Caenorhabditis elegans: one gene and its partner. The protein of the gene in region 2 interacts with the protein of the main gene of each other region in a pairwise test. Each region holds a gene or a part of one and is shown on either strand. Other genes may lie near its edges.

Evidence for each region.
Region 1: the proteins of math-14 (region 2) and arrd-6 interact in a two-hybrid assay, tested with the Caenorhabditis elegans proteins (one large-scale study listed by BioGRID).

The regions. Positions count from the first base shown.
Region 1 is NC_003280.10:11,141,286-11,149,141, reverse strand, and holds the start of arrd-6 (Arrestin C-terminal-like domain-containing protein), read right to left. Parts: upstream 6,246-7,856; coding exon 6,186-6,245; intron 3,300-6,185; exon of another isoform or gene 3,232-3,299; intron 1,949-3,231; exon of another isoform or gene 1,724-1,948; intron 1,626-1,723; coding exon 1,566-1,625; intron 1,471-1,565; coding exon 1,275-1,470; intron 944-1,274; coding exon 807-943; intron 752-806; coding exon 402-751; intron 81-401; coding exon 1-80.
Region 2 is NC_003280.10:1,867,734-1,871,565, reverse strand, and holds math-14 (MATH domain-containing protein), read right to left. Parts: upstream 2,147-3,832; 5' UTR 2,144-2,146; coding exon 2,031-2,143; intron 1,984-2,030; coding exon 1,706-1,983; intron 1,489-1,705; coding exon 1,362-1,488; intron 1,312-1,361; coding exon 876-1,311; 3' UTR 761-875; downstream 1-760. Other genes in the region: math-10 (MATH domain-containing protein), read right to left, coding at 1-18; math-15 (MATH domain-containing protein), read right to left, coding at 3,783-3,832.

The DNA of each region.
Region 1 (7,856 bases), 9.3 Mb from region 2:
GTGGTACCACTGGCAATCGGATCGGCTGCTCCAGCGTCGAATCGTACTTTCCTTGAGAGTTGGCAGCGATGGCGGGGGACCTGGAAAACGTTCAATCTTTTTCAGGGACAATCTTTTTCTCATACTGATGCATGCTTTACTTTGACAGCTTATATTTCGATTGTATTAAGTTCTATCAGAAAATTCTTCAATCTAAAAATTTGAAAAAATATTTTGCACTTATTTTGCCATTTGATAGTTTTTTGCAAAACCAAAAAAAACCTAGATATACAAAATATGACATGTTTTCTTTTTAAGCTTCAATTGAGAATATGAAAAATTTTAGATTCTTAAAATTGTATATGTACATTAAAATCTCTGCACGACTCTGCAAATGACATTTCTAAAACCGGCTCACTCACTTGTGCTCGAACACCACACATGACATCATCTTGTTCTCGCCCAAAAGTCCCTTTTCGACAAACACCTCGACGTGCTGCACAAGACGGATAACGAGGCTTTGCGCCGTGGATTGCCTGTTCTCAATCTGGGCTCGGACACGAATGTTCTCGCCGCACACGTACGCCGTCCGCTCCAGAATTATTCGCAGTGCGAGCGCGCCCCGCTGGCAACACCAGCAACAGTTCACTTTTCGATCTTGAGCTGATAATGGGCTTAAATATTTCTCTTCCATACTGTCGATATGTGGACCGATTATCGTAAAATATTTGATTCCCTGAGGAGATGATGCATATGGAATGTCAATTATTACCTGGAATTTTAAAATTAACTGTACTGATTCTACTTCTGAAATATGTATGTAATACCTTGAAATAATATCGAATTGTACAATGCCTACTCTCCAATGAACACGGTAATGAAGATTGTGGGAGGTCAAAGTTGAAGGAAAACTGATGAACTCCGCGAGCAAGAATTGGGACACTGTCTGATTCATCGCTTTTATCTGGAAATTCTGGTGTACGTTAAAAGAAACGTCTAGAAAATCAATAATTATTTTGAATTCAGATTTAAATTAATTTTCATGAACAAGATAAATTTTACAGATTTTCACAAATTTGGTCACGTAATCTGAAACAACCTTTCAAGTACTTTTTCACTACTTCACTTTGAAAGGATACATCTGGGCTTATTTTTGAGATATCAATAAGTTATCAACTACAAAACGATAGAAGGAGGAAAAACAAATATTTAGTTAGTTGACAATTTTTGTATAGGTCGAACGACAACTGGCATATGTATAGGCTGCCAAAGTTGAAGTGTCCATTATCACTCACCTTTCCCCCATAGCAACTGTTTCTCATCCAGCACATATTGATCGTCTTTCAACGTCCTCCGTTCACCAGACTTGACCACTTTCAACGTGGCATGCACTTTGCCACGTAGCAACACCCGAATACCACGTATTTTGATGTTCTCCGTGTTCTCCAACAGCACACTTCCACTGATTGTCTCGCCGGCGTAGTAGACGTCCTGAAATACATACATACATACGTTGTGTGGGGAGGCAATATTTTTGTTGTTGTTTGTGTTTTCCAGCTGTTTGGACTTTTTCTCGCGCGACAAACCTTATTGAGCCTAATGTCGAAACTGGATATGTAGTCCATGCCGGATTTCTGCTCCTCAACCTGGAAGTATTTTTATTAAAAATTAGAAAATTAACACTTTTTGGGCACAAACCAAAAATAATTTCATTCAGGAAAAAAGTAACTCGCACTAGGAATTAAGCATGGTTCAGGTATGTTCAAAATATTCAATGTTTTCGTTTTAGGTTAAAACAGGTTTTTTTGTTAGGATTTCGATGGTAAGCACAGTTTCAGGGCCTGGCGCCTGCCTGAAACCTGCCACTCTCGCGGTTGAGACGCAAGGCAGGCGTAGGTCCCCTTAAGGCCAGACAGGCAGGTAGGTTTCGGTGCCTACATTGAAGCCTCAGGAAAATGAAATAATTTGAATTTGAATTTTCAACGATAATTAATTATATTTATCAGGTCATATGAAAAAAATGTGTTTTGACAATTTGTTTTTGAAAAAAAACTGGAAATTGTGAGAAAAAAAAAGAAGATTAATGGTATTATGGCACGCATAAGATCTAGAAATTTCTTCAGAGAAGACGTAAAAAGTGAAGAATAAGAAGAAGAAAAGGTTTTCTGTGGTGCACGGAGCATCGTAAAGTCGAATCGGAAATGGAAATGAGAGTCACGGTATCTGGTGCTGAGTACTCTCTAATCGGAGAAGAAGAGCCATAAAAAACTTTGAGCTTCTTCTCCTTTCTCTACCTTTCTCTCTCTCTCTCTGTCCTAGTTTGCTAGAAGAATAAGAATTGTTCTTCTGATGCCTCATCTCTCTTTCTCCTCTAATCTTCTGGAATTGTATCTGTCGGAGATGTGGACGAATGGGAGGAAAAAAAAGGAAAAAGAAAGAAGAACTAAACAAAAAGATAGAGATATAATCCCACATTACATACTTAGCCGCGGGAAAAAATATTTTAAAAAATATTTAGAATCTGTTCATGTCCCATCATTGTGACTGGCACTTTAGATGTTTCTACACATTTCAAAAAATAGGAAACTTGGACAAAGGTTACCAACAAAAATTCTGTAATTATTAAATTATTTTTAGGAATATTCCTGAGAAAATACAATAACTTGAAGATTAATTTATTATCAAAATTTTGGAAGCCAGCTTCTGAAACAAATAAGGGTCTCTAAGATGTCGGCCGCAGAATTATGGCAATATTCTTGTTGCTTTGCTCTTGGTTTTTAAATTATACTCATTTAAATAATTTGCAAAACTTCAATAAAAATTGGCCCCTGTAAGCAGTAAGCATTCCGCAAAAAATCATATTTTGGATTTTTGATAATCTTTTTTTGCATAACTCACTATAAAATTCTGTCAAAACACTACAAAATCAGAAAAAAATGTCCTCGTGCTCAGTCACAGCCTACCTACGAACAATATTCCCTTCATCAAATATCCAAATATCACAAGACAGGCTGAATCAGAAACTCCAATTTTTCTCAAGAGAAATCAAAAATTCACAAAACGAATTTTAATAAATTTCCGAGACGCTTTCCCAGAGAAGGGAGAAATTATTATCAGGTGACAAAAAGTGAAGGTTTACCTTCAGGATTGTTATGGAATTGAGATTTGATTTTAGACATGTTTTAAATGGTATAAATAAATATTTCTTAACATTTTCCAGTTCACCAAAAATATGCTGATTTTGGAACGAACCTGCTGTATTCGAATCCTGAGAAAAAATGCACTGAAGTTATTTCAGACTGAATTTTCAGGAGGTAGAGCTTAAATACTTGTGTTAAACCATTGAATACAAAAATTTCCAAATAAGACAGACTTCGTTCTGAAGTCCCAATTTCCTACTTGATTGAAAACGATAGAAAACTTGGAAAAAAGTGCATCTTTGTTTATGGTGACGTGAATTATAGATGCGCGCCGATAGGAAATTGCAATGCTCCGAAAAAAAGAGCAACGCGAAAAAAATAAATTGAAGATTCTGTAATTGCGGGCAGTGAGGGTGGATGCAGAATAGAAGGTCAATAGAATGATAAATAGGGAGAGGAAAAATTATTGGAAAATTAAAGAAAAATTGAATTGTATTTGAGTAGCAGCTATACAGTAACTCCTAGAACTTTCTGGTTTTTTTGGGCTGTTCAAAACTGAAAACTGAAACTCATGAGGTTCACCAAAAGGCGAAATGGTAACTCTTGGAATTTGAATCCAAATTTCTTCGGTCCAATGCTCATTTACCAAAAAAAGTGTCAGGGAAAAAAACGGAAATAGCTAGGTCAAGATATATAGAGACAGAGCGGATATACACGTACATATGAATGAGGAACGAAAAAGCAATAGAATGAGATGGAAAAGAAGAAGAAGGCGTAAAGAAGAGAAAGCAACACAATATCTCTTGTTGGGTGTTTGAGAGCCCCCTCTCCGCCTTTTTGCACACTATTTCCGGCAATTAATGAAGCAGGTAAAAAGGGCAGAAGGCGTTGGAGAGCCTGGGCAAAATGTGTGAAATGAAGTCGAAACTTTTTGGAGCAGCAGCACAGCTCTCGACGACAGCTTCTTGTGTAACATGATACTGGAGAACGACTACTTTGAGTGGATCGAGAGAGAAGGTTGACAAAAGTGGAAGAAAAGGGTTTTTGGGATAAAGGAGATTAGCTGGATATATGGGTAGAGATCTATCGGATTATTCTATAGTGATTACATGATACTATCAAATGGCGGGTATTTACGGGTAAAATCACTTGTTTTCAGAAATTGCAGGGACTTGATTCATTGTGTAACAAAACTATAATATTTGGAATCATTTTAAAAATTTCTTTTTTTTTTAGAATTACGAGTTTCAACGGATTCAAAGGTGTTGAGGCACCGGTCGGCTTCTGCTACTTGCCTGGTCAGAAAAGAAAAATGGGGATTGAAGCAGGGGTGGGCGGCAATAGACGTTTGGCAAACTTTTTTGTCGACAAATTTGGCAGTTCGACAATTTGCCCGTTTGCTTTGCTGGAAATGTTCAATTCCGGCAATTGGCCGATTTGCCGATTTGCGAAAAAAAAATCGTTTACCTGGTTTGAATATCGGTCTCAAGGACCTTTGTGAACTTCTACACAAAAAGTTTAAAGTTTCACGGTTTACAATCTGGAAACTAATACCAATGAGTTTATCAATTTGCAAGCATCAAGTCCGCCGAAAATATTTTAGTATTTTCCTGGCAATTATTTTGTTTCTGGGATTCTGTAACTGTACTATTTTAAAAATTTTCTTCTGGGATTTCTCTTTTATTTTGAAGGGAAATCTTGGGTCTTCTAAGAAAATGTGCGCTAGTATTTATGTTGCTATTGGATTTTGCGATTTCGGAAGTCTTTCCGATTTTACAAGAAATTTTCAAAAATGCAACAAAATCGCAACGTCGGTGCTCAAAACTGGAAACATCAAATTTTCCGGATGCATACCAGACTCCTCCTCCCATTCTCTCTCTCTCTCTCTCTCGTTTTTGCGATAGAAAATGTAATAAGCAAAGAGAGCTAAATCCATGGCAACGCGATAAATCTCATGAGACATGTCCCGGTCAGGATGAGATGGAAAACCAGTCGACAAAAAAATAGAAGAATTGAAAGAGAGAAAGATAGAGTCGAATACAATTTGTAAAGACCCGAAGAGCATGTATATGTGTGTGACGAAAAATAAGATGAAGACGAAGAATGAATGAATTTTATAATGAACACAGTAAACATATAGTGATTACTCATTGTCAATGAGCACAGTGGAAGAAAAAATGTTTTTTTGGAAGATGGGATGGAACAAGTGATTGTTAGAAAATATTATTTTATTCCATAGTTTTCAAAAATTAAGAAAAAACCGACGTAAGCCCTTTTTGGGGGAAAGTTTAAAAATTCGAACTAAATTCGAAACTTTCGAACATTCGAACTTTTTTTTTATTTTGAAAATTGTTATTCTGTTCTAAATTACTTAAATGAAGATCAACTCTTTGAGTAGATTTCCCTTAATTTTCTCTGAAGAAAGCCAATCAAAATCAGTCAAAATTTATCAAAATTTGTTCCAAAACTTGAAAAAAATTAGGCGATTTTTTCAATTAATTAACTAAGTTTGAACTGGATTAGAATTATTGTAAAAGTGTAAAAGTTCAAAAGAAAAAATTCCATACAGTATCGAATCTAAAAATATTTTAGAAAGTTGAAATTTGAATGGCTTTTGCTCCAAAGCTTTAAAAAATTATATAATAGTGATTTATCAGAATCTTCTATTTGTGTGCAATTTGAGACTAATTAATTTTCTCAAATTTCAGACAATTCCAAAAATTGATTTTAAAACATTTGAGGAAGTCTTTCGTAGTTAACTATAGTTGATTATCTGCTTTTCAAATTAAACCAATAGCAACTAGGATATGAGCACTCAAAAACGAAAAGTGAGGGTACAAGACAAATCGGAAAAATACAGTGAACTAAAAATTTGATTTTTCAAGTATTAGAAACCGGATTTGTTTTGCAGTTTTGCGAATAAAATTGAGTTCACATAGTGTGAAATAAAACGAAAATTTTCACAGACAAAATATGCACGAGAATGAATGAAAAATTGGTTGGAACGAGAAACAGGAAAGAATGCCCTTTTTGCTCATTTGATGAACGTTCCTCTTGGGATCTGACCTGGAAATAGTGCTTCTCGAGTAGCGTACTGATCATTGTTTCCTTCTTTTCTTCAGCCATATCCTCCTCCTGATTTCCTTCACGTGTGTGCCTCTATTTCCAGCTTGCTCTCACCCGGCTTTTTTCTAATCAGATTGAGTACTTCTTGGGACGAATAGGGTGAAAAGGAGTGTGTGGAGGAGCAACAAAAAAAGAGACTATGTAGTGCAAACAGCACTCTTCGAGATTTATGTCGACTCGGACTCGACCCCATGGTCCCAGTGGGAAATTGAGCAAAAAGCGCGGCAATGAGGAGCAATGGGCACACGCGTGGAGGATAGGCACGAGGAGTTGAAAAGCAGAAAAGAAGGAAGAAGTATCATCAAAAAATGGAAGTGTTTTGGCATGATTTTATGACGTATGTAGATGCAGCCATGGTAATCGATATAACTTCACAAATTACCAAAACTCAAGGAGAGACATTTTGAACTTAAAAAAAAGAAGAAAAGAAGGAAACAATGATGATGATCAAAATCTAGAGCTGAAGTTTCGAGAAATTTGTAGTTTAAAATAATTTCAAAACTACTCAAATTTACGAATCGACTCAAATAGCATAGCCGCCGAATTTCAATAAGCCCTCAACCTATATATGCCCTAGACAGGTGATATGTTAAACCGATAAGGTTGGTGATTTGTATGTATGTATTTCTGGCATTTGGCACTCTTTGCATACTAGATTTGTGGACTGACATAGAACTTCTGTCATCAACAACCCACGCACATTTGAGAATTGGAAAATTTTTGATTGAAATTTGAAGTTTGACAGAACCAGCAGGGCTTACAAGAAAATAAAAAATTAAAGGTATTATAATATTTGAAAAATGGAAAAATTGATTTTTAACAACTGTTATTTATGTTTGATACTATAAGGTTAATTGCAAAAAAATGCAAAAAAGTATAAAAGTGAAGAAAAAAATTACAAAAACCTATTGCCCGAAAAAAAATGTGGTCGAAAAAATTGAGGGCACTAAAAATCACAAGCAAGAATATCAAATAAAATTTTTTCACATGTAAAAAATTATGCTCTTGCGATTTTAATTATTTATGTTTATGAAATAATCGAAGAAATTACAATCTATCATATTATAATTCTATAAATTGTATCTAGTTTGTTGAACAAAGTTTTGGCAAATTACCAAAATTTGGAAACTGTGGTTTTTCAGAAATTTAAAAAATGTCGCATGGATAAACCTCTAAAATGTTTGACTACACATGCATTTTAAAAAAACAACACAGTTAGTGTCTAGAATAAATATCAAAAGTTGTTCTCTTATTTTTTAAAAACCTCTAGTCAGAAAACACATCCACCCACGCCATTAGGGAAAAAAAAGCTTCTTGATGAAATGCCATACACTTACTCACTCGTTCCAACTTGACAAGTTCGGAATGTGTAAATAAGGTTTATCAAACTCCTAGTCTTATAGCTTTTTGAAACCAGTTTATGTGACAATTATATAAATGTACAATTTGAGCTGAAATATTTAAAAAGCCAAGAAGTCAATTTGCTAAAAAGCTATATATGTATAAGAAAATCAAAGTCGGCAACACCAAAAGATCTCAAGATTTGGTTGACAGATTCTTGGTTATCAAGGAAATTGGAATTGAGAAACGAGAGAGGGACTGAGGAAGAGA
Region 2 (3,832 bases):
TTTGCACAATTTAGACATTGTTCTGAAAATGTTACCATATTACAGTGAACGTCTGGGAAAGAATAAAATAAGTTAATTTTAGAAAAATCAAAAATTAAATTAGACCAAAAAAAAAGACAGATATGCCTGAAGAAACATATGCAAGGTGATGGTTCAAAAAGGTGTCCTTATCAGTGAAATAAATTATTCCTAATATGGAGAAAGTGACAGTTTAATGTAAAAATGCCAATTTTGCAAAAAATAGTGAGGAATTATGTTTACAATGCAATATTTAATACAAGGATTCAACATCTAAGATTGTTCTGAAATTTTTTAATAGAATCCAGAACCACAGTCATGATAGTATTGACAGAGAGCAGAGTATAAGCTGAATGTGCAGGGCAGAAAAATTGACACCAAAGAAGACTCACAGAACATGCATCTTATCAGTGAACAAGTGTACCAATAAGGAAGTTGAAATTGAAAGTAGCAATATAACTTTTCATGGAAAAAAAAAATTTCTTGGAGCCAAGTCGAATGAAAAGTGAATGATGGGTGAAGCTCAAGTACTAGAAAATTGTTCAAAACCGCTTTAATTATAACAGGAAACCTCCTCACAATCAGTCATAGAAAGCCTCTGAGAGGAAATTGAAAATCGAGCGTATAGTTCTTTATCGGTAGAAGTTCTTCCTTATAGTTAGATTGTTCATGTCATGTGAAAAGTGCTCATTATTTAGTGCTATACGTAGGTTCATATTGATTTCAACGCTAATTTCCCTTTTTCAACTCTTATAAAAATCTTTATTTCCATCGAATAATGATATTGGAAAATTGATACTTAGAAAAGAGCACAGACAGTAATAGTCGACGGAAGCAATTTAATGAAAATTGATAATTTATTGTTTCTTCACAGTGTAATTTTGCCCTCCGACATTGATCACACACTCAGAGAATTCATCTTCTAAATTATCACTACTCGAATCATTTTCTGAATGGGATTCGCTCGAATCGTCTTCTTCATTCTCACTGCTGGATTCGTCGTCACTTTCTTCAAGACTAGTGATTTTTCCACGAGCTTCAATAATGATACTACCATTCACCATATACTTCTCTTCCATGTCATCCCATCTCATGAATTTTTGAAAACCTTCACCCGATGGATAAATAAACAAGTCTGAATCACTAAAAGTCAAGCTCTGTCCATTCAAAGACACCAATCTTAGTTCATAATCTAATTCGATACTCCAAGATTTTCCAGGATCCTCACAATCCTCTTTTTCACATCTCAAAAATAATCCAAAAAATCCATCATCTCTTTTAATTTGCATTCTCCTTAAATTGAATATAGTTTGAACTAATGTACATATTATTCAATAAAAAACCATGGAATATTGTGACGTATCGTTGTTTCAGTGTAATAGTCGTCTCCTTCTTCAATGCTTGAAATATTTCTAACAGTACTGCTTAAAAGAAACGTTTTTGAATCCTCGTCTTCGTCGCATGGTAAGTCTGTAAAAAGTGTTATAGACAGAAATATAATAATCATTTACAGTCTAAAAATATGTCTGCGTCTTTCTTAATATATGATAAATACTTATAGTGCTACTAAAAAATACTTGTATTCCAAAGGTCATAGACACTCACCAGTCTAAAATTTTGAAAACATTTTTTCAAGCTTCAGAGCAAGTAACCAAGTTTTTTCGTAAAAAATGAAAGTCGAACTCACCAGTTATTTTAATTATTTTGACATGAGCTTCAACTACAACACTATCATCAACTACATAATCACTTTCCAATAAATCCCAACTAGTGTTCAGACCACCATCGAATATATTTGAATTATTGAAAGTGAACTTTTTGCTTTCCATCAAACTTTTCCCGTTGTGTGATACTAATTTCATCGTCCAATCAGTTTCAATCGACCATTCTCTGTTGTCCCAATTGTTTTTTTCACATTTCAATCCAAGACTAAATTCATCGTCACACTTAGCGATGCACATTCTCCTAAAGCACGTTCACCATTATTTCTTAAAACGTTTATCAAACAAAACCATGGAATATTGAATCGTTCTTCTGTGTCAGTGTAGTATATCTCTTCATCCACAAATCGTGAAATATTTTTGACAGTCGCGCTTAAGCTGAACTCTTTGCACAATTTAGACATTGTTCTGAAAACTTTTTCATATTACAGTAAACGTATGAACGTACGTTCTCTGTAATATGAAAAAAAATACACACATGTGAAAATAACAAAACAAATTTAATTATAAAAATCAATACTCAAAGAGAGCAAAAAAAAAAGGAGACGGAGCAATTCGATAGGTCTGAAGAAACATATGCAAGGGGACGATTTAAAAATGAGTTCTTATCAATGAAAAAAAAATTCCTAATATGGTGCAATTGACAGTTTAATGTAAAAATGTCAATTTTGCAAAATACAATGAGAAATTTTGTTTAGTTGCATGAAAGTTCAGAACTAAAACATATAATTTTTGGAACAAATAATTTTCAAACAAATGAAAAAACACTTTCAGAAAATCAGTATGGCGCTATAAATGTAGTTGTTTTATAATTTAAAACTCTTTCTTAGATTGTGCAAATATGCCAGTTTGATGGAGAAAAAATGAGGAATCTGTTAGGAAATTTTCAGAATTACTTGTTCCATTAAGATTTTTCACTCCAAGAAAACCGGCTGACGCCGATTCCTGAACTCAAAAATTACAAAAAATTCCTCATACCTTCAAAACCTTTATAAAAAATCACTGATAAGAGTATACTTATAGTCGTTTCCTAATAGTGTTGCTACGTTTAAAATGTCTATTCATTACAGTTTGAATGGCTTATTTCAACAATTTTTTCTATAATATCTTGATATCAACTTTCTTTTGAAAAAATTGACCAAACTATGAAACTGTTAAAAATATCCTAAGATTTGTGGATAGAGAGGACTACCCCACCGACATGGAAGAACGAGTCAATATTCCATGGTTAACATTACAGTTGATTTTCACAATATTTATAAAAACGGAAAATTTCAGCACTGAAATTTATAAAAATTTTCACCGACTCAGCTTTCAAAAACAGATAATACAATGGGATTGTCTGAAAATCCTGAATAACATGTCTTTATTAGACACAGCTCTATTGTCAGTGCTCCATATAAAAACAGGCTCCTGTAACAGGGATAAATTCACAATTCATTCAACATGAACTTCATCATCTACATTCTTGTCCTCATCGCATGTGCTCCAGCTGCTGTAAGTTTTCCCATTTTAGGCCTTTCTCCAAATGTTTTTTTTCAGATATCGATTTCCCACCAATTCCGGGAGTTATTGGAGGGTTTGGAGGAACAATTCCAGGAGAGACGGATGATTCAGGAATGTTTGAAGAAGTAGGAGCAGGAGTAAGAAAAGCAATTCCGGCAATTCGGAAAGTCGTGGGCGATGAACCAGCTAGAATTCCAGGAATAGTTGAAGAAGTCGGAGCTGCAGTTAGAAAGGCAATCCCAGGAATTCCGTCAACTGTATGAGCCTTTTTATTAACTGTGACATGTTTGAGATAAATATATTAAACATTATGAATACATATTTTTGGTTCCAAATGGGAAAACAAGAAATGTGTGACCAAATTTAGGTTCTGCTTTTTCTCTTTTTTTTTCAATTTCTTTACATTCAACCATTGCTCAAGATAGGTAAGGTTTAATTGATTTATGTAGAGAGTGCAAAACTAACGTTCATTTTAGGTTGAAAATAGAGAAGTTTCATATCACAGTGATAAAAATGAATTAGAATGAAAAATGCAGTCTATTGTCTTTTTACAGAATAGTTTTTCCCTCCAACATTGATCACACAGT